Anolis sagrei: one gene and its partner. The protein of the gene in region 2 interacts with the protein of the main gene of each other region in a biochemical or structural test. Links are inferred from orthologs where the notes say so. Each region holds a gene or a part of one and is shown on either strand. Other genes may lie near its edges.

Region 1 (12,080 bases), on a different chromosome or scaffold from region 2:
AGTGTGCATGTGTATATGAGAGTCTCTGGGTGGTGTATGTGCTTGCTTAGCCCAAATACAATGGCTCCCACTAGGCCCCTTCCCTGACCCTGCAGATATCCCCTCCTTTTTAAAGGGAACGGTCGGGGCCTAAAAGGGAGCCACACCCCCAACCTGAGCAGCCTCCCCCTCCCCTTGCAGAAGGGTTAGAATGGAGGAGTGTGTGTGTATATAGTAAAGGTTTTCCCCTAACATTAATGGACACATGTCCGACTGGAGGTTGGTGCTCATCTCCATTTCTAAGCCGAAGAGCCGGAGTTGTCCATAGAAACCTCCGAGGTCATGTGGCCAGCATGACAGCATGGAGTCTGACCGGTACCTTCCACCTCTACCTCTTTCTTTCCTTCCTTCCTTCGCTCTTTGGTTCCATCCTTCCTTCTCTCTTTCCTTCCTTCCTTCTCTCTCTCTCTCTTTCCTTCATTCCCTCTTTATTTCCTTCCCTTTTTTCCTTTCCTTCTCTCCTTCTTTCTCTACCTTTCTTTCCTTCCCTCCCTCTTTCTCTCCTTCCTTTTTTCTTTCCTTCCCTCCTTCCTTCTCTACCTTTCCTTCCTTCCCTGCTTCTTTTCTTCCTTCACTTTCATTTCCTCCTACCTTCCCCCTTTTCTCCTACTTCATTCTCTCTTTCTTTCCTGCTTTCTCTTTTTTTCTTTCCTTCTCTCCTTCCTTCTCTCTTTCTTTCCTCCCCTCCCTTTTTTCCTTTCTTTCTTCATTCCCTCTTTCTTTCCTGCCTTCTCTTTTTCTTTCCTTCTCTCCTTCCTTCTCTACCTTTCCTTTCTTCCCTCCCTCTTTAACTCCTTCTATCCTTCTTCATTCCCTTTCTTTCATTCTCTACCTTTCTTTCCTTCCTTTTCTGCTTCTTTTCTTCCTTCACTTTCATTTCCTCCTTCCTTCCCTCCCTCTTTCTTTCCTGCCTTCTCTTTTTTCTTTCCTTCTCTCCTTTCTTCTCTACCTTTCTTTCCTTCCTTCCTTCTCTGCTTCTTTTTCCTTATCTCCCTCCCTCTTCCCTTCCCTCCCTCTTTTTCTCCTTTTTTCCTTCTTCATTCCGTTTCTTTCCTGCCTTCTTTTTTCTTTCCTTCTCTCCTTCCTTCTCTACCTTTCTTTCATTCCTTCTCTACCTTTTTTCTTTCATTCCTTCTCTGCTTCTTTTCTTCCTTCCCTCCCTTTTTCTCCTTCTTTCATTCCCTCTTTCTTTCCTGCCTTCTCTTTTTTCTTTCCTTCTCTCCTTCCTTCTCTGCCTTTCTTTCCTTCTCTGCTTTTCTTCCTTCCCTCCCTTTTTCTCCTTCTTTCCTTCTTCATTCCCTTTCTTTCCTGCCTTCTCTTTTTTCTTTCCTTCTCTCCTTCCTTCCATTCCTTCTCTACCTTTTTCCTTTCTTTCCTTCTCTGCTTCTTTTCTTCCTTCCCTCCCTTTTTCCTGCCTTCTCTTTTTTCTTTCCTTCTCTCCTTCCTTCTCTACCTTTCGTTCCTTCTCTACCTTTTTTCTTTCTTTCCTTCTCTGCTTCTTTTCTTTCTTCCCTCCCTTTTTCTCCTTCTTTCCTTCTTCATTCCCTCTCTTTCCTGCCTTCTCTTTTTTCTTTCCTTCTCTCCTTTCTTTCGTTCCTCTCTGCTTCTTTTCTTCCTTCCCTCTTTTCTTCCTTCCTTCCCCTATAAGTCCCAATACAATGGCTCCCAGTAAACCCTTTCCCTGACCCTGCAGATATCCCCTCCTTTTTTAAAGGAAAGGGGGCGGGGCCGAAAAAGGAGCCCCACACCCAACTCCAAGCAGCCTCATTTTTTATTATTTTTGGGCTTGGCCTCATGTTAGCTGCCCCAAGTCCCCTTTGGGGAGATGGTGGCAGGGTATGAATAAAGATTATTATTATTACTATTAATATTATTATTTTCTTTCCCTCCCTCTTTCTCTCCTTTCTTCTTTCTCTACCTCTTTCTCTTTGATCTTTGGTTCCATCCTTCCTTTTCTCTATCCTTCCTTCCCTCCCTCTTTTTCTCCTTCTTTCCTTCTTCCTTCCCTCCCTCTTTCTTTCCTTCTCTACCGTTCTTTCCTTCCCTACTTCTTTTCTTCCTTCCCTTCCTTTCTCTCCTTCTTCATTCCCTATTTCTTTCCTTCCTTCTTTCTCTGCACCTTTTCTTCCTTCTCTCCCTCTTTTTCTCCTTCTTTCCTTCTTTCTTCTCTTTCCTTCCTTCTCTTTTTTTCTTTACTTCTCTCTTTCCTTCTCTACCTTTCTTTCCTTCCCTGCTTCTTTTCTTCCTTCTTCCTCTTTCTCTCCTTTTCTTCTTCATTCCCTATTTCTTTCCTTCCTTCCTTCCCCGCTTCTTTTCTTCCTTCCATCTTTCCTTCTTTCCCTCCCTTTTTCTCTTTTCCTTCTTCATTCCCTCTTTCTTTCCTGCCTTCTTTTATTCTTTCCTTCTCGCCTTCGTTCTCGACCTTTCCTTCCTTCCTTCTCTGCTTCTTTTCTTCCCTCCCTCTTTCTCCGAGTCTTCATTCCCTTTCTTTCCTTCCTTCTCTTTTTTTCTTCCTTCTCTACCTTTTTTGCCTTCCTTCCCCCTTTCCTTTCCTCCCTCTTTCTCTCCTTTCCTTCTTCATTCCCTCTTTCTTTCCTTCCTTCTCTTTTTTCTTTCCTTCTCTACCTTTGCTTCCTTCTCTGCTTCTTTTTTCCCTTCCCTCATTCCTTCCCTCCCTCTTTCTCTCTTTCCTTCCTTCTCTTTTTTCTTTCCTTCTCTTTTTTCTTTCCTTCTCTACCTTTCTTTCCATCCTTCTCTACCTTTGCTTCCTTCTCTGCTTCTTTTTTCCCTTCCCTCTTTCCTTCCCTCCCTCTTTCTCTCCTTCTTCATTCCCTTTTTCTTTCCTTCCTTCTCTTTTTTTCTTTCCTTCTCTACCTTTCTTTTCATCCTTCTCTACCTTGCCTTCCTTCTCTGCTTCTTTTTTCGCTTCCCTCCCTCTTTCTTTCCTTCTCTTTTTTCTTTCCTTCTCTACCTTTCTTGCCTTCCTTCCTTCTCTGCTATTCTTCCCCCTTTCCTTCCCTCCCTTCTCTTTTTTTCTATCCTTCTCTCTGTCCTTCTTTACCGTTCTTTCCATCCTTCTCTGCTTCTTTTTTTTCCCTTCCCTCCCTCTTTCTTTCCTTCCTTGTCTCTTTCCTTCTCTACCTTTCTTGCCTTCCTTCCTTCTCTGCTTCTTTTCTTCCTCCTTTCCTTTCCTCCCTCTTTCTCTTTTCCTTCTTGCTTCCCTCTTTCTTTCCTTTCTTCTTTTTTCTTTCCTTCTTTCCATCCTTTTCTATCTTTCCTTCCTTCTCTGCTTTTTTCCCTTCCCTCCCTCTTTCTCTCCTTCATTCCCTTTCTTTCCTTCCTTCTCCCTGTCCTTCTCTTCCTTTCTTTCCATCCTTCTCTACCTTTCCTTCCTTCTCTGCTTCTTTTTTCCCTTCCCTCTTTCTCTCCTTCATTCCCTCTTTCTTTCCTTGTCTCTTTCCTTCTCTACCTTTCCTTCCTTCTCTGCTTCTTTTCTTCCTTCCCCCTTTCCTTTCCTCCCTCTTTCTCCTTTCCTTCTTCATTCCCTCTTTCTTTCCTTCTCTTTTTTCTTTCCTTCTCTCTGTCCTTCTATCTATACCTTTCTTTGCTTCTTTTTTTCCCCTTCCCTCTTTCTCTCCTTTATTCCCTCTTTCTCTCCTTCTCTCTGTCCTTCTTTACCGTTCTTTCCATCCTTCTCTTCTTTTTTTCCCTTCCCTCCCTCTTTCTCTCCTTCATTCCCTTTCTTTCCTTCCTTCTTTTTTTTCCTTTCCTTCTCTCTGTCCTTCTTTACTGTTCTTTCCATCCTTCTCTGCTTCTTTTTTTCCCTTCCCTCCCTCTTTCTCTCCTTCATTCCCTCTTTCTTTCCTTTTTTTTCTTTCCTTCTCTACCTTTTCTGCCTTCCCTCCTTCTCTGCTTCTTTTCTTCCTTCCCCCTTTCCTTTCCTCCTCTCTGTCCTTCTCTACCTTTCTTTCCATCCTTCTCTACCTTTGCTTCTTTCTCTGCTTCTTTTTTTCCCTTCCCTCTTTCCTTCCCTCCCTCTTTTTCTCCTTCATTCCCTCTTTCTTTCTTTCCTTCCTTCTCTTTTTTCTTTCCTTCTCTCTGTCCTTTTCTACCTTTCTTTCCATCCTTCTCTACCTTTTCTTCCTTCTCTGCTTCTTTTTCCCTTCTCTCCCTCTTTCTCTCCTTCATCATTCCCTTTCTTTCTTTCCTTCTCTTTTTTCTTTCCTTCTCTACCTTTCTTGCCTTCCTTCCTTCCCTGCTTCTTTTCTTCCTTCCCCCTTTCCTTTCCCCCCTCTTTCTCTCCTTTCCTTCTTCATTCCCTCTTCTTTTCCTTCCTTCTCTCTGTCCTTCTCTACCTTTCCTTCCTTCTCTGCTTCTTTTTTTTCCATTCCCGCTTTCCTTCCCTCCCTTTCTCTCCTTCAATCCTTCTTTCTTTCATTCCTTCTCTTTTTTCTTTCCTTCTCTCTGTCCTTCTCTACCTTTCCTTTCTTCTCTGCTTCTTTTTCCCCTTCCCCCTTTCCTCCCCTCCCTCTTTCTCTCCTTTCATTCTTCATTCCCTCTTTCTTTCCTTCCTTCTCTCTGTCCTTCTTTACCGTTCTTTCCATCCTTCTCTACCTTTACTTTCTTCTCTGCTTTTTTCCCTTCCCCCTTTCCTTCCCTCCCTCTTTCTCTCCTTCATATTCCCTTTCTTTCTTTCCTTCTCTTTTTTCTTTCCTTGTCTCTTTCCTTCTCTTCCTTTCTTTCCATCCTTCTCTGCTTCTTTTTCCCCTTCCCTCTCTTTTTCTCTCCATTCCCTCTTTCTTTCTTTCCTTCTCTTTTTTCTTTCCTTCTCTCTTTGCTTCTCTACCTTTCTTGCCTGCCTTCCTTCTCTGCTTCTTTTTTCCCTTCCCTCCCTCTTTCTCTCCTCCATTCCCTCTTTCTTTCCTTCTCTTTTTTTCTTGCCTTCTCTGCTTCTTTCCTTCCCTCCCTTTCTCTCCTTCGTTCCCTTTCTTTCCTTCCTTCTCTACCCTTCTTGCCTTCCCTGCTTCTTTTCTTCCCACTTTCCTTTCCTGTCTCTTTCTCTCCTTTCCTTCTTCATTCCCTCTCTTTCCTTCCTTCTCTCTGTCCTTCTCTACCTTTCTTTCCATCCTTCATCTACCTTCCTTCCTTCTCTGCTTCTTTTTTTCCCTTCCCTCTTTCTCTCCTTCCTTCCTTCCTTCCTTCCTTCCCCTATGAGCCCCAACCCAGTGTCTCCTCCCAGGTGGCCCCTTCCCTGACCCTGCAGAGTCCCCCTCCTTTTTTAAAGGGAAGGGGGCGGGGCTTAGAAAGGAGCCCCGCCCCCAATTCCGAGCGCAGCCTCCCCCTCCCCTTGGCCAAGGGTGAGCAGGGAGTGTGTATATGCCTCTGTGTGTGTCTATATATCTATCTCTCTCTCTCTCTGAGGGGGGACTCCTTTACCTCCAGGGCGCGGATCTCGTGCTGCGTGAGGTCGTTGGAGGCGGCGCACTTGGTGCGGAGGCCTTGCAGGCTGGAGAGGGAGATGTCGATGAGGTCCTGCAGCTGCCCGCATTGCTGCGCCGCGCAGGCCGGCCTCCCTCCGCCTTGGCCTCCTCCTCCTCCTCGGCCTCCTCTTCCTTTGGCCTCCTCCTCCTCCTTGGCCCGCCCGCCCTTCTTCTTCTCGCCCATCCTCGGCGGTGGCGGCGCTGCCCTATCCATGCCTCGGCATCAGGGAAAAATGGCCTCTTCTTCTGAGGAGAATCCGCCTCAGGAATACTGCTCCCCTTCTCTCCAATAGATCTTTCCCTCTGAGGAAAAATCGAGGCAGGGCTGCAGGAGAGGCCTCCGCCGCAGCATCCACCTGACAACAGCCCTCCGCCTTCTTCTTCTTCGCCTCGCGACGGTCTTTATTTATATCGGCTGCGAGGGGGGCGGGGGGACCGGAAGGAGCGGGTTGGCTCCCGCAAAGGATGCCGGGGGATGTAGTTCTCTGCAGAGGGTGGGCGGCCTCTCTCCCCATTCAAGCCCAAAGAGCAACCATGGTAATAAGAGGCATAGGTCTGTATTTATATCGGCTGCGAGGGGGGCGGGGGACCGGAAGGAGGGGGTTGGCTCCCGCAAAGAATGCCGGGGGATGTAGTTCTCTGCAGAGGGTGGGCGGCCTCTCTGCCCATTCAAGCCCAAAGATTAGAGCAACCATGGTAATAATAATAATAATAGGCATAAGAGGTGGACCCTCAATAGATACAATGTAGACAATATAGTATGTAATATATAATTATATACTATATAATATATAATCATATAACCTTATAATATAATATATTGCATATTATAAACAGTGATATTTATATAACTTAATATAACATATATAATATGTTATATATAATAATATATTGTATATTGTATACAATATAATAATATTATGTATATAAGTAATATAGTAATATACGTTTATATTATATACAATACATATATATATCATGTAACCTTATAATATATATAATATGTATTGCATATTAAATACAATTTAATAGTGTATATAATAATATATGTGGATAGTGGATACGTTCTATTGATTGGCCTATTGGCCGTATCAAAACATTTAACACATAACACAATTAACACATAGTCATACATACAACCCTCGGTATAAAAGAAGTTAAAATAAACAGCTGTCATAATATATGTAATATATGTAGAATTATAAAATCATAGAACGATAGCGTTGGAAGAGACCTCATGGGCCATCCAGTCTAGTATATCAAAATATATTGCATATTATAAACAATATAATAATATATATAAAAGGTAAAAAGGTAGTCCCCTGACATTAAGTCCAGTCATGTCTGACTCTGGGGTGTGGTGCTCATCTCCATTTCTAAGCCGAAGAGCCAGCGTTGTCCGTAGACACCTCCAAGGTCATGTGGCCGGCATGACTGCATGGAGCGCCCTTACCTTCCCGCCGGAGCGGTACCTATTGATCTACTCACATTTCCATGTTTTCAAACTGCTAGGTTGGCAGAAGCTAGGGCTGATAGCGGAAGCTCACGCCGCTCCCCGGAATCGAACCTGCGACCTTTCGATCAACAAGCTCAGCAGCTCAGTGCTTTAACCCACTGCGCCACAGGGGGCTCCATATAATATATATAAATATATATAAATATATATAAATATATAGTATATATACAATAATTATATTGTATATAATATGCAATATATATTATAAAGTTATAGGATTATATATTATAATCATATAACTTTATAATATATATTGCATATTACATACAACATAATGATATGCATAATAATATGCATTGTATATTATATACAATATAATAGATAATAAAATATAATACATATATATACATTGTATGTTCATATAACCATATAATACATATTGTGTATTATATACAATATCATATATATATATTATACATAATCATATAACCTTATAAATATTATATATATTGCATATTATATGCAATATAATGATATGCATAATAATATGCATTATATAATATATATAATATAATACATAATATAATATATATAATATAATATATATTGTATGGTCATATAACTATATAATATATATTGTGTATATATATATATATATATATAATAAACATAATCATATAACCTTATAAATATTATATATATTGCATATTATATACAATATAATGATATGCATAATAATATGCATTGTATATTACATACAATATAATATATATTGTATGGCCATATAACCATATAATATATATTGTGCATTATATACAATATATATATATATATATATATACACACATAATCATATAACCTTATAAATATTATGTATATATATATATTGCATATTATATGCAATATAATGATATATACAATAATATGCATTGTATATTATATACAATACAATATGAAATATAATATCATATATATAATATAATATATATTGTATGGTCATATATAATATATTGTGTATTGTATAACCATATATATTGTGTATTATATACAAAATTATATATATATATATATATATATATTATATACATAATCATATAACCTTATAAATATTATATATATTGCATATTGTATATAATATAATGATATGGAGCCCCCCGGTGGCGCAGTGGGTTAAAGCGCTGAGCTGCTGAGCTTGTTAACTGAAAGGTCACAGGTTCGAATCCGGGGAGCGGCATGAGCATCCGCTGTTAGCCCCAGCTGTTAGCAGTTCGAAAACATGCAAATGTGAGTAGATCAATAGGAACCGCTCCGGCGGGAAGGTAACGGCGCTCCATGCGGTCATGCTGGCCACATGACCTTGGAGGTGTCTACGGACAACGCTGGCTCTTCGGCTTAGAAATGGAGATGAGCACCACACCCCAGAGTCAGACATGACTGGACTTAATGTCAGGGGACAACCTTTACCTAATGATATATACAATAATATGCATTGTATATTATATACAATATAATATATATAATATAATATATATTGTATGGTCATATAACCATATCATATATATATATAAATATATAGTATATACAATATACATAATCATATAACCTTTTAAATATTATATATATTGCATATTATATACAATATATATTGCCATATAACCATGTAATATAAATTGCATATTATGTACAATATAATATATATATATAAATATATATTATATACAATATATAAAATCATATAACCTTAAGTTCTATGAGGAAGAACTTCCTGACTGTGAGAGTCGTTCAGCAGTGGAACTCTCTGCCCCGGAGTGTGGTGGAGGCTCCTTCTTTGGAAGCTTTTAAACAGAGGCTGGATGGCCATCTGTCGGGGGTGATTTGAATGCAATATTCCTGCTTCTTGGCAGAATGGGGTTGGACTGGATGGCCCATGAGGTCTCTTCCAACTCTTTGATTCTATGTCTTCTGATATAAATATTAAATATATTGCATATTATATACAATATAATGGTATATATAATATATTGTATATTATATACAATATATATAGTCATATAACCATATAATATATATTGCATATTATATACAATATAATAATATATATAAATATATATTATATACAATATATATAATCATATTATAGAGTTAAGGGAGAGGCAGTGGGCGGGGTCATGCAAATCCCACACCAATGGAACGAGTAAGAAACACTGGGATGTCTGTGGTGGAGGAAACACACAAAATCTGGGATGAAATTGTCCACGTAAGAAAGCCTTCACTTGGGTGGTGTTCGTGAAGGATGTAGGCAGGGCTCTAGGACATATTCATGGCACTCACTATAACCTCCAGTGTCATTGGAAGGAAGGCCATTAGTGTCTCCTGATTGGAGGGGTCAAAATTCATAGTTTTTCAGGGCAACCTCCATGCAGCTATGCCTCATGTGGCCAACAGAGGGAGCCACTGAGTTCAATTAGTATTTTAATCTATCTATATATGCATATAATAAAGGTGAATATATGCATGGTGTGTATGGCTATGGAACTATAGATTCTGTAGGCGGGTGAGGCACCAGTACTCTTTGGCAGCAAAGGTAAACTATAAATCCCAGGATTCTATAGCACTGAGCCATGACAGATACAGTGGGGTCAAACTGCATTAATTCTACAGTGTAGACCAGGCATGGGCAACACTTGAAGGTGTCTACGGACAACGCCAGCTCTTCAGAGAGGAAACAACCAGGCACAGATTAACACCTCCCAGCAAGAGATTTTCCCAGGCTCAGGCAGGCCTTCAAATGCTAATGAAGGTGGTCAGCTGAAACATTCACACCTAGCTGCAGCAGGGAAGAGCTCCTTGCCCCACCCCAGCCATTCCACAGATATATAAACCCATTTTCCTACTTCCAACAGACCTCACTACCTCTGAGGATGCTTGCCATAGATGCAGGCGAAACGTCAGGAGAAATGCCTCTAGAACATGGCTCTATAGCCCGAAAAAACCCACAAGAACCTAGTGATTCCAGCCATGAAAGCCTTCGACAATACAATAATAATTGTATTTATTTATTTATTATTCAATATAATAATAAACAATATATAATAATATATAGAAATAATAACAGTGTAATAATACTAATATATATATATTGGGCCCCCTGGTGGCGCAGTGGGTGAAACCGCTGAGTTGGTGAACTTGCTGACTGAAAGGTCGGTGGTTCGAATCCGGGGAGCGGGGTAAGCTCCTGCTGTTAGCCCCAGCTTCTGCCAACCTAGCAGTTCGAAAACATGCAAATGTGAGTAGATCAATAGGTACTGCTCTGGCGGGAAGGAAAGGGCGCTCCATGAAGTGATGCTGGCCACATGACCTTGGAGGTGTCTGCGGACAATGCCGGCTCTTCGGCTTAGAAATGGAGATGAGCACCACCCCCCAAAGTTGAACTCAACTAGACTTAATGTCAAGGGGAAACCTTTACATTTACCTTTATACAAAATAAAAATAATAATAATAATAATAATAATAATAATAATAATAATAAACAAGATAATAATATATAGAAATAGTAACATTGTAATAACACTAGTATATTATATATTGGGCCCCCTGGTGGCACAGTGGATTATTATTTATTATTACTTATTTAGGGCTTTTATATCACGTCCTTTCTCAACCTCCGCAGAGGGACTCAGGACGGCTAACAAAGTGGCACCCCATGGCGCCCATGTCAAAACATAAATATACAATTAACAGCAATTAACAGGATTAAACTGCTGAGCTGATGAACTTACTGACCGAAAGGTCGGTGGTTCGAATCCAGGGAGAGGGGTAAGCTCCCGCTGTTAGCCCTAGCTTCTGCCAACCTAGCAGTTCAAAAACATGCAAACGTGAGTCGATCGATAGGTACTGCTCTGGTGGGAAGGTAACAGCAAGCAAAGTCTGGACTGTGTCCAATTCTGGGCACCACAATTCAAGAGAGATATTAACAAGCTGGAATGTGTCCAGAGGAGGGCGACTAAAATGATCAAGGGTCTGGAGAACAAGCCCTATGAGGAGTGGCTTAAGGAGCTGGGCATGTTTAGCCTGAAGAAGAGAAGGCCAAGAGGAGATATGATAGCCATGTATAAATATGTGAGAGGAAGCCACAGGGAGGAGGGAGCAAGCTTGTTTTCTGCTTCCTTGGAGACTAGGACGCGGAGCAATGGCTTCAAACTACAAGAGAGGAGATTCTATCTGAACACGAGGAAGAACTTCCTGACTGTGAGAGCCATTCAGCAGTGGAACTCTCTGTGTGGTGGAGGCTCCTTCTTTGGAAGCTTTTAAACAGGGGGTGGATGGCCATCTGTCAGGGGTGATTTGAATGCAATGTTCCTGCTTCTTGGCAGGGGGTTGGTCTGGATGGCCCATGAGGTCTCTTCCAACTCTTTGATTCTATGATTCTATGAGCAGCAGATTGGACTACATGACCTCCAGATTTTAAGTATGCAAATGTGAGTAGAGCAATAGGTACTGCTTTGGCAGAAAGGTATCAGCGCTCCATGCAGTCATGCTGACCACATGACCTTGGAGACATCTACGGACAATGCCAGTTCTTCAGCTTAGAAATGGAGACGAGCACCAATCCCGACAAAACGGTGGCAGCGAGGCAGCGTCTTCAGAAAAACAGCCGGACTCCAGGATATGGTTTTGGGGGCAAAAAAGGTTATTCCCTGGGCGGAAAGGACAGCGGAGCGAAACCGAGATAGCCATTAGTCTTAGAATTCTTCCAAGAGAAAACTGACACCATTTTCAAGGCGATCGGTTGACCCGCGGATACGGGGCCCCGAAGGGGGTTTCCGTATCCGCGGTTTAAGGGAAAGCAGTTTTGGCCTTTATTGAAAGGTTTGTTGAAAGAGAAGCTTTGAGGCAGCAAAGGACACAAAGTAACACTATGGAGAGGGAAAGGTTACAATTAATTGATACTTTTTATTGGGAGGATTAGTTATAATGTTAGGAAGGGGAAAAAGCAAAGAAATGAATCATAGAATCATAGAATCAAAGAGTTGGAAGAGACCTCTTGGGCCATCCAGTCCAACCCCATTCTGCCAAGAAGCAGGAATATTGCATTCAAATCACCC
Region 2 (12,854 bases):
AACAGATGTCTTCATAGAACAATGCTTTCTAGGTCAGTCTAACCCACTAAATGATATTGAGACACACCAAAAATACATCAATTATTTAAAATGCAACTTTCTGCCTGAAAACAATGTGAGAGCTGTTTGATATGATAGCGATTTCTTTTAAACCTTTGACTAAGCAAAAGAAAAGGTGTATGAACTGAATGTTATCCAGGTTGAAAAACTAAGAGCCACATCATGCAATATATATATACAACTTCATATTCTACCATTAATTAAGGCCATTAAGACATCTATTTTCCTATTCTGCAGCTGCTGCTCGCAGAAAGTGTGTGCTTAGCCCTCAAGGGGAGGCCCATTCTACAGCCCCCTGACAGCAGAATACAAGTGGAAGAGCCTTGAGGTATGAAGTCTATCAGAATAGAAATCAGACAAAATTCAAGCAGAAATTAATCATCTTAAACTCACACACACTAAAGAAAAAAGTGAGAACTTTTGGATTTGGAATTTTGGTTCATAGCATGAGCATTCTCCTTGCTCGGTTTGTAGATCTTATAGATTTGCTCCTAGAGAATGACATAACACCCAGTAGTGTCTGAAAAGAAATATAGGTTTCTACATTGGCTTGTAGAATTTGTCTTCCCTTTTAACAATTACTTTACATGGTTCAGCTTCAAGCACAAGCAAGAACAATGCTCATTCAGCATTTTTCTGAGAATCAATATGAAACTGTCGGAAATATTATCTGTTTCTGCCAATAGGAGCTGATGAATATTACCTTGGAAAATTTAGCACTGGTTCATTTATCTCTCTTCTCTATTATCATGAGAACTTTTAAGCATGCAATGTAATGAAGGATTCAGGACTGTCAAATCCAAAAGTACTGCTAGGATACCTTGAATTTTCTGCTTTTTTCAGCTATTCCCCTCCTACTGCCACCACAGCTAAAATGGAATAATATTTTAAACCCAGTAATTAAAGAGGGAAGCAAACATTTATTAAGTTCTACATAAAGGTATCAATTCTAAATTTCCAAATTTTAAATGAAATCAGGGCAACACTAACCTGTGTTACCTTTACTCATATTAAGGATCCTCCTGTGATCTAGTACTTTTGTGGTCAAGAGCATGCCTCTGTGTAAATTACAACTCATCAGAGTACTATCTATATTCATACTCTGCATCCAACCAACCAATCCAGTTATACCTTGTTTGTGAGCTCTGACATGGCAAGCCAAGCAAAAACCAGCCACAAGTCCTGCCACATTATTAATTTTATATTTTTACATCAGAACCAGGACCACTTCTGAACATAAATACTTCAGACCAATAAGTCCTACCTTTGCTTCATTTTAAAGTACAGTGACCATCACCTGACAACCTATTTAAAAATTCATCTCATCCAGACTAAATAATCACACTAAAATTATCTACATAGTTCTATCCAATGACCTTCTAGATATAGTTATTCTAAACAAGAGTAAAAAAAATTGAGTGGCCGTAAGATTTAACCTACTAAAGAAAATCTCATAGTTAACAATGAACTACAATGAAACACTGAACAGGTTTTCCCCCTAAAATGAAACATTGTGGGCCTGAAAAATGTACAAATATTCTATCGATGAATTATTTATAATTGAATACAGCCTTTAAGCTTCATAAGCTTTGTTTCAGGAACTAAAGTAAACAAACTGTGAGATTTTATCTGAGTCAACATATACAAAGCACCGACAATACAACAATTGTTCCACCTCCCTATCTAAACTTGTTTCAAGTACTTTCAGTCAATGACAAGCAGACTAGATCACACAAACACAAAAATAAGCTTAGTCTATCTTTCTCGTCTTCAAAAGTATCACAGATCTCAACAGTCTTCATTCTTAAGATTATCAAACTGTCAGCTTTTCTGGTTCAACAGTAAAAGAAAATCTGCATTGTGTTTAGAACCCTCTATCAATGAATATATACACAATACATTTTACAGAAGGAATATCCATAGCTATCGTTTGATTCGATTTTTTCATTAAATCCAGCAAATACAGAGAAATGGCTACCTTTACTTTAATGAAGTAAAACAGTTTCACAGCACTAAAAAAATCATGCTAATTAAAAATTAATGCAGTTTTCTTTAATATCTATGTACAATACATTCAAGCACTGAAGGTGGCATAAGGCACCCTCAAGAGAAATACAAATCATATTGAGATATGTTATCTAGGTCACCCTGTGAATTATTTGTGAAAGGAAACGACCCACTCCTTCCTTCCTGCCTGCCGTATGTTTATTCATAATCTGCTTTTAGTCTTCAGCACATGTTGTGTCCAAGATGTTGGATGTTCAAGTCTCTCTTGCATTTCTAAGACGTAAGAGTAAAGTGTGATGGGCTCAATAAGAATGAGTGGGGAGGATCCCAAATTTAAACATGAACAGCAACTTACTGTAGGAAGGCCTTAGTAGGTGTTTTCCTAATAACAATGTTCATCATAGCAACCCGCAAAACATCTGTTATCACATGTCCAGCTGCCAGACAATGCCTGTTGTAATAACAGTAAACCTGAGGATATGTTACAAAATTTCAAGCTCTGACGGAAGTTTAGTTATCACTGTTATCACTGTATGTGTGTATGTACATACAGGGTGGGCCAAAAGTCACAAAGGGATTTCAATACTTAATAACATCTTTATTTTTATTTACAATACCAATACAGTATCTCTCATATATGAATGAAACGAATTTACATTATGTGTGAAAAATTTAATCTTGTAAAGAACCATGTGCATACACCCTATCTATCTATCTATCTATCATAGAGTTGAAACAGACCTTGTAGGCCATCCAGTCCAACCCCCTACCAAGAAGCAGGAAAATCACATTCAAAGCACCCCTGACAGATGGCCATCCAGCTTCCGGGGCAGAGAGTTATATCCTGCTTTATCTCTCCATATGGAGACTCAAAGTAGCTCACAATAAAATAATTACAACTTAAAATATACAAATATATAATAATAAAAGTATATCATATATGATTATACATTATCAGTAGTATATTTAATGCATTACTATTATGGCATTACAATATTATTATAAATTGTATTGTATTATTATTAGTATTGTATTGCATTATAATATTATCAAGGTTATATTATATATAATATATTATATTATTAGCATAGCACAATATTAGTATTGTATATTACTATACTGTACGATACCACTATACTCCAAAATTATTAGTAATAATACATGTAATATATAATATACAATTATTATATTACTACATTTTATTATATTGTACTATATTATCATAGCACAGCACAATATTAGTATTATATATTACTATATTGTACTATACCACTATACTCCAATCTTATTAGTGACTAGCCGTCCCCTGCCATGTGTTACTGTGGCCCAGTCTGTGTATATGTGTTTTCTGTGTGTATATATGTGTATATGTGTGTGTATATTTGTGTATATGTGTATACATGTGTGTTTGTGTGTATATATGTGTGTGTGTGTGGTTTTGCGCATGTGTTGTAATGCATTTTTGGTTTTTTGGCTTTTTAAGTCTCTTCTGCTGTGTTTTTCAGTGTTTTATGAATGAAGGCCACTCGTTGACTTGATATGTGCATTGTGTCCAAATTTGGTGTCTATTCATCCAGTGGGTTTTGAGTTAAGCTAATCCCACAAGTGAACATTGCACTTTTATTTATATATAGAATACATGTAATATATAATATACAATTATTATATTATATATTATTATATTGCAATATATTATTATACAATATATATAATACACTACCAGTATAGTACACTATTAGTATATAATATATTGTACCATATCATAAGTTGTAGTACATATAATATAAAATATATTATATTACAACATTATTAATATTATATATAATATATACCACTATACACAATACCACTATACTCCAAAATTATTAGCAATACATGTAATACAATCAACTACCAAACTTGCAAATTTTGTGTTTTGTCTGTTTGTTTGTTTTGTTCTGTTAGAAATTGACTGGTTGCTCTGACACGACAAATAAATATTACTACATATATATGTGTGTGTCTATTATCATAGCACAGCACAATATTAGTATTATATATTACTATATTGTACTATACCACTATACTCCAATCTTATTAGTGATGATTCATGTAATATATAATATACAATTGTTATTATATTATATATTATTATATTGCAATATATTGTTATACAATATATATAATACACTACCAGGGTAGTACAGTATTGTACCATATCATAAGTTGTAGTACATATAAATATATATGTATATTATCATAGCACAGCACAATATTAGTATTATATATTACTATATTGTACTATACCACTATACTCCAATCTTATTAGTGATGATTCATGTAATATATAATTATATTGCAATATATTATCATACAATATATATAATACACTACCAGTATAGTACACTATTAGTATTATATATTGTACCATATCATAAGTTGTAGTACATATAAATATATATGTATATTATCATAGCACAGCACATTATTAGTATTATATATTTCTATATTGTACTATACCACTATACTCCAATCTTATTAGTGATAATACATGTAATATATAATATACAATTGTTATTGTATTATATATTATATTGCAATATATTGTCATACAATATATATAATACACTACCAGTATAATACACTATTATTTATTTACTTTATTTGTATACTCTTCTCAGCCTTTAGTATTATATATTGTACCATATCGTAAGTTGTAGTACATATACATATACAACATTATTAACATTATATATAATATATTTGTATCTTTACTTTACAATGTTATTATTATATTGCATATAATAATTATATTGCATATATTGAGGGGCTCCCAAGTGCTGCTGCAGGAGGCACCTTGTAAGAGGGAAGCAGAACAGGTTAGGACATTCAACATTCGCTATTTCATTCAAAAAGATGCTCAATTAGCATAAAACTACAATACACTCATTATGAACAACCCTGAACAGCACTCACATTTTCAGTGTCCCGCTCATTCACGGTGGGCAATGGAGTTCTGGTGGACATTTTCATTCACTTGTGCTGATGCCCCGGTTTGCGATGGCCAAACCCAGGAATATTATTATTATTATTATATCAAAAAAATAAGGGGGAGAAGAAAACCCTAACGCCCTCCTCCTCCAAATATATAGAGAGATATTTACAACAAAAAAAGAATAGTTTTACAGCATGACAGTGGTTTGGAGTTGCCACCATCAAGGGAAGAAAAGAATAGTTTTACAGCATGACAGTGGTTAGGAGTTGCCACCATCAAGGGGAAAAAAGAGGAGAGTGTGTGAGAGGGAGTGAGGTGTGGGGGGTGATTTCTGGGCCTCCTCCTCCCCGAAGAGGAGCCCCCTGCCTCATTTATAGCCTAACCTGATGGAGGAGCCTTGGGGGATCATCCCACAGGGAGATTAGGCTCCTTGGAAGGTGGAAGAGGAGGAGGATTAAAGGGGAGAGGGGCTCTCATGGAGGGCAAGGAGGGACGAAAGGGGAATGGAGGAGGGATTAGGCAAAGAGGGGAGCAAGGGGAGACTAGGTGGAGAGGAAAAGGCAGGCCCTACAATGCTCTAAGGAAAGGGAAAAAAGGAAGGAAGGGGAAAGAGGAGGGAGGAAGAATGGCCCTGCTTCGCTGAGCACCAGGATTGTCCCTCGGAGGCTCCCGTCCGCCCTTCCGCCTTTCCTAGGCCTCACCGGGCCTAGGCTCCCATGTTTCAATCCGAGCGCGAGGGAAGAAGAAGAAGACAAGAAGAAAAGAAAAAGAAAGGCCGCAGCCCGCCTCAGAGCCAGCCAGCCAGCTCCCTCCTTGCTTCCTCCCTTCCCTCCCTCCTTCAGCAAAAGAGTGCCGGATGATCCAAGATGGCCGCCCGGCTTCCTCTGCGCCGACGTGAACCGGAAGAGACCACCCCTTGCACTGAAAGGGAGCGGAGCGGGGGAAAGAGAGGCAGAGGGCGTAAGTGCGCAGGCGCAGTAGAAGCGCGTGCTTCCCTCTCCCTCCCCCCTCCTCCCCTTGTTGCTAAGGAAACGCCGAGCCATGGGAAAAGAAGGCGGGGCTTCTGTGTGGGCGGGGCTTCGTGGGAAGAATGCCCTCCCTCATTTTGTGTTTTGGAGTTGGATGGAGAGTACGCGCCATTGCCACTGCCAGAGCTCAATGCTTTGGGGTTTTGTGAGAATGGTCGTTTTACAGGTTTATTTTAAAGCCTTCTCTGCCCATGAGGGCTGGTGCCACACCAAGCTACAACTCCCAGGCAGTTAAAAGTACCTGTCCGAATGTATTCTCCCCTATGAACCATCAAGAGGGCAAAGATCGTCTGGGAAGGCCCTACTCCCGGGCCCGCCATCTTCGCAGGCGCGTCTGGTGGGGACAAGAGACAGGGCCTTTTCTGTGGTGGCCCCTTGGCTATTTATTTATTTACAGTATTTCTATACTGCTCTTCTCACCCCTAGGAGGACTCAAAGCGTTTACACATAACTTTTTTGTCCGAATGTATTCTCCCCTATGAACCATCAAGAGTGCTAAGATCGTCTGGAGAGGCCCTGCTCTCGGTCCAGCCATCTTCGCAGGCGCATCTGGTGGGAATGAGAGACAGGGCCTTTTCTGTGGTGGCCCCTTGCCTATTTATTTATTTACAGTATTTCTATACTGCTCTTCTCACCCCTAGGAGGACTCAAAGCGGTTTACACATAACTTTTTTGTCCGAATGTATTCTCCCCTATGAACCATCAAGAGTGCTAAGATCGTCTGGAGAGGCCCTGCTCTCGGTCCAGCCATCTTCGCAGGCGCATCTGGTGGGAATGAGAGACAGGGCCTTTTCTGTGGTGGCCCCTTGCCTATTTATTTATTTACAGTATTTCTATACTGCTCTTCTCACCCCTAGGAGGACTCAAAGCGTTTACACATAACTTTTTTGTCCGAATGTATTCTCCCCTATGAACCATCAAGAGTGCTAAGATCGTCTGGAGAGGCCCTGCTCTCGGTTCAGCCATCTTCGCAGGCGCATCTGGTGGGAATGAGAGACAGGGCCTTTTCTGTGGTGGCCCCTTGCCTATTTATTTACTTACAGTATTTCTATACTGCTTTTCTCACCCCTAGGAGGACTCAAAGTGGTTTACACATAACTTTTTTTTTTTGTCGTGTCAGGAGCATCCTGTTGTGAGAGAATTGACCGTCTGCAAGGACGTTGCCCAGGGGACGCCCGGATGATTTTTGATGTTTTATCATCCTTGTGGGAGGCTTCTCTCATGTCCCCGCATGAGGAGCTGGAGCTGATAGAGGGAGCTCATCCGCCTCTCCCCGGATTTGAACCTGCAACCCGTCGGTCTTCAGTCCTGCCAGCACAGGGGTTTAACCCACTGCACCACCGGGGGTTCCTTACACATAACTGGCAAAACTTCAATGCCATACATTGGACACTGACGCAATCTCAATCCATAACAACCACAATAATAAAACGACAATTAAGCATAAATCATAATTAGACTGTACATAAGCAATAATTAAAACAATAAATAATAAAAACAGTCTCGCCAGTCATATTGTCATTCTAGTCCATGTCCTTTGAACTCTACAAACATCTACTGTCCGAAGGCCTGGTCCCAAAGCCATGATTTTAATTTCTAAGATCTTACCTTGGAATTTCCTTCCCAAATGAAATTAGATCTGCCCCCTCCCTCCTGACCTTTAGGAAGCTAGTGAAAACCCAGCTGTGGAACAAAGCCTTTGCAGAATAATGTCTGAGACTGGTAATCTAACAAAGTTACTGACCACAATATATGGACTGAACTGGACACGATTTTATCTTGGCGAACGGCTTTTATGTAATTTATTTTATTTGTATTTGGTAATGTAATGTTGTTGTAATATGTTTTAGATTTTAATGTTAGCATTGAATCTTTGCTGTCAGCCGGTCCAAGTCCCTCTTTGGAGGTAGAAAAGATTGGGATATAAAAGTTTTAAATAAATAAATAAATAAATAAAAGTGGTGTCAAACTGCATTCATTCCACAGTGTAGATCAGACCTGTGCAAACTTGGGTTCTCCCTCCAAGTGTTTTGGACTTCCAACTTCCACCATTCCTAACAGCTGGTGCAAAAACAAATTGTACAGGAATTTTGGGATTTGTTGTCTTTGCTTTTTTACTTAGGTGATCCCTCATAGCTCGAGGATGATGGTCCTCCAGATGTGGTGACTTGGAGGTGGGGTCCGTAGGTGGCTGTGGAGCCCTTTTCTTCATCTGCATATTCTCCCGCATTGAGGACATCGGTTTCCAGACAGAAGTCAGTCCTGATCAGGGTTGGCTTGACGCACCTTCCTCTTGGCATGTTTCTCCCTCCATTTGTGCCTCTCACAATTCCGCAGCACTGTTGGTCACAGCTGACCTCCAGCTAGAGTTCTCAAGGGCCAGGGCTTCCCAGTTCTTGGTGTCTATGCCACCGTTTTTAAAGTTGGCTTTAAGCTCATCTTTAAATGTCCAGAGAGCTAGACATAAGCACTAATACATATTTTGGAGCAAAAAGGAATATAGGACCCTTTCTTACTTTTGGGGAAACAGGGTAATTTGGAAAACTCCAAATTACCATTCCATTTCATTCTACACATATTGGACCAATGGCAAGCTCTTTAATCTCAGCAGGCTGAAAGCCAAAACCAATTTCAGAAGAAGGTCCATTACAGAACTCAAGTATGCTGATGATGTAGTCTGTGCTCGTTCAAAGAAAGACCTACAAGTCACTTAAACACCTTTGCAGAAGCATATGAAAAGCTAGGCCTCTCACTGAACATCGAAAAAACCAAAGTGCCCTATCAGCAGGCACAAACCAATCCCTCTGCAATGCCAGAAATGCAATTTAATGGTGTAACACTAGAAAATGTTGGCCTTTTCTGCTACCTTGGCAGCCAGTTCTCCGCAAAGTCAACATTGAGACAAGTGCAACACTGCCTGAGCTCTGCAAGTGCAGCATTTTTTCGAATAAAACAGAGAGTGTTTGAGGATTGGGACATTCGTAGGGATACTGAGATGCTTGCTTATAAATAATAGTAATAATAATAATAATAATAATAATAATAAATAAATAAATAAACTTTATTTATAACCCACCACCATCTCCCCAAGAGACTCAGAGCGGCATACAACAACACATCAAAAACAACAAGCAATAATAAACAACAAGCAGTAAACAAAATAAACAATACAATTCGTATAATTCACAGGCGGATAATAACAAGAGAAATTTAAAAACCTAAAGCTATTGTCCTCCCAACCCTGTTATAAGCCTGCAAAACATGGACCGTCTACAAGCGTCACACTCAACTTCTGGAACAATTCAATCATTGTTGCCTCTGAAAAATCCTGCAAAGTTCTTGAGAAGACAGGTGGACAAATGTCAGCGTTCTGGAAGAAGCACCAGAAGTCCACCAGCACTGAAGTGATGATCCTCTGCCATCAACTTTGCTTGACTGGCCTCTTTGTTCAAATGCCCAATCACCATCTCCCAAAGCAGTTACTTTACCCTCAGCTCAAGAACAGAAAACAGAATGTTGGTGGGCAAGAGAGATTTAAAGATGGGCTTAAAGCTAACCTTACAAAATGTGGAATGCAAGCAAACCTTTGTCGGGACTGCTTTCCATCTGGAAATCTATGTCCTCACTGCAAAAGACCATGTGGATCTAGAATAAGTCTCCACAGTCATTTACAGATCCACCGCCAAGACTCTGTTGGAACATGTGAGAAATCAGTGTGTGTGTGTCAACTGTAAAATAAGAAGCATGAAGCTGATTGGTAAGGCTATGCCCAGGGAGCTGGCTGAGCCTGGGAATTTTGGTTACTATTACATTTTTTAGGCTTGAGCTATGCAGGTGCTTGCAGAGAGAAGCAGAGAGAAGCAGAGAGAGATGGTTTAAAGTGTGCTCTTGCTTCAAGAGCTGCTGAAGGGAGATTTCTCCCTTTAAACCATTTTACATCTCTCAAAAAAGGACATTATGCGAGTCGATGCAACTAATCACATAATTGTAGATATGTTGTTCTGAATTACATAGAGTAAACTACTTGCTCTTAATAGATCATCTGCGTGGCATATTTTCTTTCTCTGGCAAGGCAGCATATGAGCTGATCAAACGTGAACTACGTGGTTTATTTTCACGTTACGCCTCAGACTCTACCTTTGGAAGACAATCATTTGGCCACAATTGATTGCCCGTGACATGTTCTGAAGCACTTTGTCAGGATTTTTTTAAATCCCCCAAAGAAAGGGAATTTAATATGACCAGAGTGTCTGAAATATCCTAGATACCTACAAAGAAAAACACAGTAAGTGGTCAGAACAAAATGCCAATTGAAGAAATGGAGTACATGTGGTGACCTTTTTAAGCCATGAAAGCAGTTGCTGGCAACTGGAGTCTTTCTAGCTCAGCTGATCTAATTTATTTCAGTCCAAAACAAATAGAATCAAACTTCCTGATAAGCTATAGTTTGGAAATTTGCATAGAATTCAGTTCAATGTCATTTATATCCTCGTTAAATGAGCTATAGCATTGTATTCTGACCATGTGTGCCTTCCTTGGCTTCTAGGTCTGCCCGCTTTGATTTCGCATAAAGTGCTTTTCACACAAAAGGGATTTTTAAAAAATCATCAAGGGACCTGCTATGCAAATATGTGGGCGATTCTCGGATCTGAAATGCCTCCTATAAAGAGTCATAAATCAAACCTTGAGTTTTCTTTCATTTCCCCTTTTCATGCATCATATAACAATGGCAATTGCAATGTTGAAATTGACGTTTGGGTGCATACAGCATGAATATGTATTTTACAACAATCCTTGTTCACATTTCCTGGGGGTGTTGTACATTTTGCTCGATGAGGATTTCTCACTGAATCAATGCCAATTCCTTTTAATGGCTAGGAGCAGCTTCAATACACCTCACCTGTTTGAATTGTGGCGGAAGGAAGCATTTCGATGTTTTTTTGCAAAATAGAAACATTACTGTAGCTTGCAACTTACTCATATGAGGTGGTTGGAAGTGGATTTCAATAGTGTGCCATTGTTGATTTCAATATTTTTACTAATTTTTCTGATTCTTGCTTCTTCCTCTTTGCTCCAGTTTTACAATAAGTGGCACTTTAGAATCGAAGAAATACGGTCTACATGTTCCATTTTGTCCTGAGGCAGCAGGAAGCCCAGAGAGCCTTTTTTTTCCAATTTGATTATGAGGTTTAAATAAAAGGGGAATTGTGCATATATTGGGATCTCAGCTGCCCGCTGCCTCAGGAAATAATGGAACATGTATTTTGTATTTTTTCTATTCTAAGATGCCATTTATTATAAAACGCATCTAATTTCAGCTACACACATACACACACACATATATGAAAAAGCACCTGGATGGAGAGAAAGAGCAAACGAATCTATGGACAGATTTAAACTACTGTAGTCCTGTGATTCTAAGATTCAATTAATTGTACGATGCACATTTATTTATTTGCGATATTTCTATCCCGTCTTTCTCAAGCCCGAAGGCGACTGAAGGTGGCTTACAAATTGGCAGCAATTCAATGCTACAACAATCCACAATTAAAACATCTAAAACAGTATTATAAAATCAATATAAAAACAATTAAATACAAAAATAATTAAAAACATATAATAACCATTGACTTACTGTTAATCTCACTTTCCAATAGTGTTGTTTAAGCCATTCCATGTTTCAAACTTACATAATTCCATGTTTGTCTATTGCACTGCATTTCCAAAGGCTTGTTCAAAGAGTTTTTACTTTTTTTGGAAGGTCAGGAGGAAGGGGGCTAATCTAATATCCCTAGGGAGGGAGTTCCACAGCCGAGGAGCCACCACTGAGAAGGCCCTGTCCCTCGTCCCCACCAAATGCGCTTGTGAAGAAGGTGGGATCGAGAGCAGGGCCTCCCCAGATGATCTTCCATTCCTTTATGGTTCATAGGGAGAGATACGTTCAGACAAGTAAGCTGGACCGGAACCGTTTAGGGCTTTATATGCTAAAGCCAGCACTTTGAATTGTGCCCAGTAGCAAATTGGCAGCTGGTGGAGTTGGCGCAACAGAGGAGTTGTATGCTCACTGAGCGCTGCTCCAGTTAGTAACCTGGCTACTGCCTGTTGGACCATTTGAAGCTTCCGAACAGTCTTCAAAGGCAAGCCCACATTGCAGTAGTCTATATGGGATATAACCAGAGTGTGAATTACCGTGGCCAAGTCAGACTTCCCAAGGTATGGGCGCAGGTGGCGCACTGAAACCTGGGGTTCCAGGCTTAGCGATGAATCCAGGATCACTCCCAAACTGAGAACCTCCGTCTTCAGTGGGAGTGTAACCCCATCCAACACAGGCTGTAACCCTATGCCCTGTTTGGCCTTTCAACTGACCAGGAGGACCTCTGTCTTGTCTGGATTCAGTTTCAGTTTGTTCACCCTCATCCAGACTGTCACAGCGGCCAAGCACCGGTTCAGGACCTGGACAGCCTCCTTAGTAGCAGGTGGAAACGAGTGACAGAGTTGGACATCATCTGCATACAAATGACACCACACCCCAAAACTCCTGATGATCTCCCCCAACGGCTTCATGTAGATGTTAAACAACATAGGAGACAGTATTGTGCCCTGCAGGACCCCACACTCATTTCAGTACCAACAAAAATACGTAAGACACATCCACGATTCTAAAACACACCCAATTTTTAGAAATATATATGGGAGTGCGTGCCTTAGAATTGAAGAAATTAAGTAATACGTCATCCTGTGTACATAAAGAATTGTGTGGCATTCCAGATATCATTGGGCTGCAC

Evidence for each region.
Region 1: of the proteins of MARK3 (region 2) and KSR1, one has a biochemical effect on the other in vitro, tested with the Homo sapiens proteins (2 studies listed by BioGRID). The link is inferred for Anolis sagrei from reciprocal best matches to the Homo sapiens genes MARK3 and KSR1.

What each region holds. Positions count from the first base shown.
Region 1 is NC_090031.1:21,358,523-21,370,602, reverse strand, and holds the start of KSR1 (kinase suppressor of Ras 1), read right to left. Parts: upstream 5,943-12,080; 5' UTR 5,734-5,942; coding exon 5,476-5,733; intron 3,058-5,475; exon of another isoform or gene 2,777-3,057; intron 2,665-2,776; exon of another isoform or gene 2,571-2,664; intron 1-2,570.
Region 2 is NC_090021.1:327,714,267-327,727,120, forward strand, and holds the start of MARK3 (MAP/microtubule affinity-regulating kinase 3), read right to left. Parts: upstream 5,932-12,854; 5' UTR 5,080-5,931; coding exon 5,023-5,079; intron 1-5,022. UniProt on the Homo sapiens protein: Serine/threonine-protein kinase. Involved in the specific phosphorylation of microtubule-associated proteins for MAP2 and MAP4. Phosphorylates the microtubule-associated protein MAPT/TAU. Phosphorylates CDC25C on 'Ser-216'.